Linked DNA regions of Daphnia pulex. The main gene of each other region encodes a partner of the protein of the gene in region 2 in a complex. Links are inferred from orthologs where the notes say so. Each region holds a gene or a part of one and is shown on either strand. Other genes may lie near its edges.

Region 1 (3,321 bases), on a different chromosome or scaffold from region 2:
TAGGACAATACAGGAATTTTAAATTGTTTTAAAGGACGAATAACGAAGCAGTGACACTTTCTAAATTATTTGAGTCATTTTGACAATCAACTAATAATTTCTAATCTCTTCAAAGTGTTCTGACCAATTTAGATTCTTTTGTCTAATAATGGACACCACACACAAGATAACGTTTACTTAGCCACAATCATGATTACGATTGCTACTGAAATGGAACAATCGGAAAATAACTCGAAACTGGAATCAGGTGATACATGACTTAAATTTAGAATTGCTTTATTTGTGTTGACTTTGACTTGACAGCCTAATTGGCTAAACTTTCTAATTGAGAAAAACATTTCAAGGCCTATTACCGTAAAGGCTGAAATCGCACTCGATATATCCAGACCACCTTGAAATAAATTTTCAGAATAACCATAAAAGAAATTCCTTTATGCTACATTTTCCGACCGAATAAATCCTAAAAATGGTAGAACTACCTACCATATGTCATTCTAAGAAGAGTTTGTTTCAAAGTTAAGTTTATTTTTTTTCTGATTTCACAATCGGCACTTTTACTATACCTAAATAACTTGTGTCAAAATTGTACCGCATTGCATTGGAGCCAAGCTCCGGGCAGGAAACCTTCTAGATATAGTTTTGGTGAACGTGATTACTCGAGTATTGCTAGATGCGCATGACATATTAGGATGGATTGGTTTTCCGAAGAAATTTAACGATACTGGAAATAAGCAAGCCTATACTTATACAATTATACTTTGTTTTCAGTCGCATATACAAAACTTTAAAATGTGTATTTTTTGAAAGTTTTACAGAAGTTCGTTGGAAAACTTTCGTAGTACTGCTTGCCGGTAGAAATCAAAGATGACGTGACTGGCTTTCTGACACAGCTCCATGGCTTTTTGAAAAAGTTGATAGGGAACTTGGCCTTCACAGTGGCTCAGAATTAAGTTGTATTTTTGACTGTCAAAAGCAAAGGTAAACATTGCTTTATAACCTTCCTGTAATGGGGAAAAAAGTAAGTTAGGCACAACAACAAAAAATGGGGGAAAAAAATTAGTTAATTCTTAGTGGAAATCATACTTTGACTGTGCTGATGCATGGGTCTAGGACAATTCTATCCTTCTTGTCTACCAAACAAGTCACTGCAGCTACAAGACACTGCAGGGGTAAACCCGAGTCAAGAAGTGCAAGGCACACAGCATTGATGGAGGCTGCTAGCAACTAGTTTATGGAAAATGTGAACAACTAATTCTTGATCAAAATAAATTTGTTGTGGTAAGTGCTTACAGTTCCACCATCTTGCATTTCTTGAACTGTTATGCAGACAGCTGTTCGAGGGTGCAGGTTCGTCAAAATAATGTGATTACAAGTGGTCTTGATGAGTTTCTCCTTTCCACGCTCAGCAACACCTAAATAAAAATGCATTCAATATTACAGAAATAATAATACACAGGATAAGTTATTAATAACCTGGCATTCCTGTTTTTGGCTTGTAGTTTAGTTCAATGTACATTCTATCGGACAGTTCCTTTTGAATTTTAGCCTCCAAAGGTCCATAAACTGAAGCCATTACCACAGTATTCCCTGAAATGACAAGTCAATAAAATAAAATTTACCGACTTGGACAAAATAACACGAAAACAGCGTGGAAAAAGTTACAAATCTAAACTTACCTTGAGAAAACATCACCGAGCCATCTGCACGTGACAGTACGCTTTGTTCGCACTTTAAAGCACGAATGCTATTCTCTTCAGTCTCCATGGCGAATAATAATATTGCAAGCAATTCTTTGTGATTGAAAAAGTATTCAATAATTCAGATTAAGAACGCAGCCCTGTTTCTGCATAAGCAACGTGATCGTAAAAAATACATGGGGTTGACGGGTCGGCAACAGCAGTCTGCAGATGTCTCTAAGTTACCATGGCAACCATTTACTTAATCACACAAAATATAACTTTTAACTCCATGAATTTAAAACAACTATTATATTTGTAATAAAGAAGACCTGAAAAATTCACAATTTTCCAATGTAGCTATGAATATGTATTTTTCATGGATTTCGTTCGTTCAGTCACGAGAGAATGGCAACGCTGTTTTTGGCCAGAAAATTGTGAGCAAGCCAAAGACGGATCTCCGAGTAGCGACAGTATTTATTAGCTCGGCAGACTACCAAGTTATCGTGACTTGAGCTGCACGGTCAGAAACACACACACACACGTACGTGAGTCTGTTTCTGCATTTCTCGAGAGAACGTAAAGTGTGCTAGTGTGTGTGTGTGTGTGTGTGATGTTTATACGTGAATTTTTTGTGTGTGCCATCATGATTGGGAAACCTGCGTATTAATTGAATTTAGTTTGGGCATTTCCATTAGCCAGTCCCTCTTATTCGCACCGACTTTTTTCATCACCAACGTGTTATCACGCGTTGTGCTGCTCCCATCTGTGTTGGTTTTAAAACAGTCGTGTTGCTCAGTTTTGTCGTGCAATCAAGTGGAGGTAAAAACCCAACCTTTTTTCTTTGAAGAAGAAAGAAAAGGAAAAATCTAAGTGGTGCCAGGGCGGGAGAACGACGAAAGAAAAGGTGATCTCAGCCCGAGGCTATGTGACATTCCAATCAACCTGTTGGTTGCTGGAACCCGTTTTTTTTTTTTTTTTACTCCATTGCTCCCACCTGATTGCACACACACACACCAACCACACAGACTATTCCAACGAAAAAGGGCCAGTTTTGTGTGTGTGCGAATTTCACTGCCATCCAAAAGTCAAACTTCGCCATAATTGTGATTGTGTTTTTCATAAAATTTTGGATCCAAGCTCCATCATGGATGATGGTAATGGTCAGGTGACCTTTATGTTCCAAGTTGGACTGGTACGAGACTTTATCTCCACGGATGCCTCCCAGTTAACGCTGAAAACGCTCAAAGATTTGGCCTGCAACTTTATTAATCAACGGGTAAGTGTTTTTGAACATTACACGCCGATCCAATTACCTCCACGTCCATGCATCACTATACACCTGACAACGCCTTTATTGTAGTAACCAGAGAGCTTTTTTGTTTTGATTATATTACGTCATCACTGTCGTTGCTTAAGTGTGTTTGCCGTGTATATTTTTGCCTTTTAAGTTGCTAAGCTGTTGTATTCGGAATTTTTCTCCATATTTTCCCATCCACTTCCACTGGGAACTGTTGACACAATCCTGCTTTAAATGATCAATAAGGTTGGATGATTAGAAATAATCTCTTTTCAAGAGGGGGCCAATCGATTTCTTCAGCAGCCACGTTGCGATATTGGATTTAGGATGATTGAGATGGAAGGA
Region 2 (3,569 bases):
GGGCTTACCAGAGGATGTGCCATGAGAATGTGAACATTTGGCTGGGACGCTTCTAGCAAACTATCCATATAGTCCTGAGTCAGGTTGAAGTACCCGGTTGCTAGACATAATTCGGCGTTTGCCGGTACGTTTTCTAGAATCTCGCGCGTCAAGATGTTATCCATGTAAATGTTTAGCTGCCCCATCTGGACGAAAGGGAAGATCCAGGTGTCGTAAGCAGACGGATTCGGCCATTGAAATATCGAGGACGAAACATTTGCTTTTATTTGCTTTTCAAACAAGTTGTTGATTCTCCGTTTTGCTTCTTCTGTAAATTCAAGCCGATTGGATTCAAACGGATGGTGAGGAAAAGCGGAATTCAAGTTAAGGCAGTTGTTTTCACTTAAATGAAATGAAAACTGGCACACAGTTTCTACTAGTTGGTCAAAGAAATCCACTAAATCTTTGCAATCTTCCATAATTATGTATCGATCTTGCCGATTTGTGAAGTAATCGTGGCTTAAATTTGCGCCACTGATTAATAAGGAATCGTCAAATATGTAAATCTTCATATGTTGCAAGCCAATAATTTCATTCCATCTTTCTGGGAGAATTTTCTTTAATAATCCTCTAAGTGCTGGAGTGTGATAAAAATGGACTGAACACTGCTGGCTGTAGGACTGAACTAAGGGAAGCAGCATTGTACGGGAATTGAATTGGGCACCTCTAGAGCCTCTTGTTGCATCCAACAGAATTCGAACTTTCAGGCTGGAGCCAGAGTTTTTCTTCAAAGTACTTTCAATTGTTTTTACAAGCTCATTTTCATGATTTCCTGTTCCAAGATATAAGGATGCAAAAGTGACTCTTTGACTTGCTTGACTAGTCTTTTCAATAAGTGTTTTGTAGAAATCTTCAGGATCAGACAAAACTCGAACCTAAGAAAAAATTTTACAACTATTACTAGAAGACACTAATAAAATACCTTATTAGAACACTAACCTTATTTCCGTTCACAGGGAAACAAGGGGTTTTACTTCCGAGCCATCTGAAATTTTCAAGGGTCGTTAACAGTTCCGTTCTCTGCTGTTCATCACTGTCGGGTTCCATTTCGGGACGATGCTGGAGATGAAGTGATCTCGAGACAAGGTTACGTTGCCAACCTCTGCGAGCAGTCTTGGGAAGGAAGTGCCAAGATACTCGTTGTCGCCCAGCAACGCATATCGTTGTTGAAAAAAGTATTGCTTTTTGGCAAATTAGTGACATTTACTTGTACGGACGAATGAAATGAATCGGCATATAAACAAACAGACATCTGATGGCAAAAATTAATACTAATGTGATTCGCGCAATGTTTTATTTGATTCGTTAAAAAAATTTCAGTTGACTTTATATTTTCCATTTCGAACATAAGTTAATTAGTCGATTTAAATTGCACAATATCATTTTGACAAGAATATCCACAAATATTTATATTCTTAAATATTTTGATATCGCCATAGCTTAGGCAACGTAGCAGCATGGTATAGCAGAACACGATGAATTATTGTCATTTTCAAGTGTGCTGTTGTTTCCTTTTTTTTGAACTTGATACATTAGGATAATTAAAACCAAAAGAATGGTAGACATTCGCCTTGCTTCTGAAGTGCCTCCTTTTCATATCGTCGCTGATTCTACTGAACCCAAACATCTTGTCACACCTGGCTCTTTGATCACAAAGGAAACAGGATTCATGAGGTAGATTGTTAAAAGTTTTGCCATTTTCTTGATGATAATCTTATTTTATGTTTTGCTAAGGGGTCATGGAACATACATGCAAGATGACTGTTTGTACTCCAGTGTTGCTGGAGTTGTGGAGAGAGTCAACCAACTTATTTCAGTTAGACCCTTGAAATCTCGTTATCATGGGGAGATTGGAGATGTCGTAATTGGTAGGGTTACTGAGGTTTCACAGAAACGTTGGAAACTGGACACCAATGCAAGATTAGATTCAGTGCTTCTTCTTCAGTCAGTCAATTTGCCTGGTGGTGAACTCGTAAGAAAGACTTTTTATTTGTGCAATTACACAAATATTTATATCTCATAATGCTTTTAGAGAAGAAGATCAGCAGAAGATGAATTAGCCATGAGGCAATACCTGAAAGAAGGAGATTTGGTCAGTGCAGAGGTTCAAAACATCTTCAATGATGGAGCTCTTTCTTTACACACCCGCAGCATGAAATATGGAAAAGTATAACAATAAGTTATTTAAAATATTAACTGTAATAACAACCATTTATCTGTTATAGCTTTCCCAAGGTTGCCTAATAAAAGTTAGTCCATCTTTGATCCGAAGACAGAAGACTCATTTCCACAACTTGCCTTGCGGAGCAAGTATCATTATGGGTAACAATGGATTTGTTTGGATCTGCCCTACGCTCCTTGACGATGGCGCCGGTGGATTTGTTCAAAACTTGGAGGTGCGTACTAAAAAGTCGATGTTTGTACATTATCACGTGGAAGCTAATTCTGTTGAAACCTATAGACAGTTCCGCATGCCGATCGACAAGCTATAAGCCGGTTAAGGAATTGTGTGACAGCTTTGGCGCACTGCAAGATGATGATCTATGATACCAGCATTATGCATGCCTACGAAGCCTCCGTAAATGCTGGGCTTGAGGTAATTATTTTTACATTGAAACTAAATAATTCAATGCTAACTTATATAATGCTTTTATGTAGATCAAGGATCTTCTCCTACCGGACAAGATAAAAGAAATCGCTTTAATGGTTCGTAAGCAGTTCGAAATGGAAAAAGAATAATTTAATTTTCGAATAAACATGGCTCAGGCTGAACCAGAAGTTGACATTCGATTTCCCAAACATTAATGGTGTGGATCAGTTTATTCATACTGCAGACAAAGTTTTATTCTGGGGCAGGGAAAAACATAAACGAAGAAACATTCGATAATAAAGGCGGTTTTTTTTTGTTTCCAACTACAACCGGTTTCCCAAGAATATTAAAATTTTGTAGACTTCATTTATAAGTCATCCCCCCCACAAATCATATTTACATTAAAACAAGTGTGCTAGAGAAAACCAGGATAAGATCTGCCGTAAGCACCACTCAACAAAATGCCCTGGGCTAGTTTTGAAACACCTAAAAAGATTATATAGGATAATAAATTACTAATGGACCCCGTTCCCTAGGTCCACCAAGGAAGGAAAAAAAAAAGATTTAACCGGAAGTCATGTTAAAGCGCTGCTTTAACAAATCAAGCAAATAATAATTAACAAAAAAAAAAAATAATGATAAATAGAAACAATGAATATCTAGCGAAATTCCGTGACGACGAATGGATAACGATTATGTTTAGGAGGGCTTCACGATTGGAAAATGTCCCGTGTTTTTAGATATTAGGATTCCACCTTGATTAGATGGGTTTGTAATCTTAGACGCTCTTGTCGGGTCCCAACCAGCGGCGCATGAGGAAGTAGAACACGGTGCAGATGTACAGTAATAAGAGAAGAGCGCATGTGACGGCCAACGCCAGGACGGACGTCTTTGTTGGGCAAGTGCTGTTGAATACGGTCACCGTCTCTTCATGGACTGT

The links.
Region 1: exosome complex component RRP4-like (region 2) and exosome complex component RRP46-like share a complex: the UniProt entries of both Caenorhabditis elegans proteins name them as parts of the RNA exosome complex. The link is inferred for Daphnia pulex from reciprocal best matches to the Caenorhabditis elegans genes exos-2 and crn-5.

What each region holds. Positions count from the first base shown.
Region 1 is NC_060020.1:3,912,659-3,915,979, reverse strand, and holds exosome complex component RRP46-like, read right to left. Parts: upstream 1,914-3,321; 5' UTR 1,765-1,913; coding exon 1,677-1,764; intron 1,588-1,676; coding exon 1,474-1,587; intron 1,413-1,473; coding exon 1,291-1,412; intron 1,225-1,290; coding exon 1,084-1,224; intron 1,002-1,083; coding exon 810-1,001; 3' UTR 776-809; downstream 1-775. Other genes in the region: serine/threonine-protein kinase D1-like, read left to right, coding at 2,824-2,955. UniProt on the Caenorhabditis elegans protein: Non-catalytic component of the RNA exosome complex which has 3'->5' exoribonuclease activity and participates in a multitude of cellular RNA processing and degradation events. Involved in apoptotic DNA degradation.
Region 2 is NC_060023.1:8,701,153-8,704,721, reverse strand, and holds exosome complex component RRP4-like, read left to right. Parts: upstream 1-1,480; 5' UTR 1,481-1,594; coding exon 1,595-1,713; intron 1,714-1,773; coding exon 1,774-2,011; intron 2,012-2,071; coding exon 2,072-2,206; intron 2,207-2,264; coding exon 2,265-2,435; intron 2,436-2,500; coding exon 2,501-2,635; intron 2,636-2,697; coding exon 2,698-2,778; 3' UTR 2,779-2,811; downstream 2,812-3,569. Other genes in the region: CDP-diacylglycerol--glycerol-3-phosphate 3-phosphatidyltransferase, mitochondrial-like, read right to left, coding at 9-914, 979-1,242; uncharacterized protein LOC124197887, read right to left, coding at 3,408-3,569. UniProt on the Caenorhabditis elegans protein: Non-catalytic component of the RNA exosome complex which has 3'->5' exoribonuclease activity and participates in a multitude of cellular RNA processing and degradation events. Involved in regulation of antisense ribosomal siRNA production.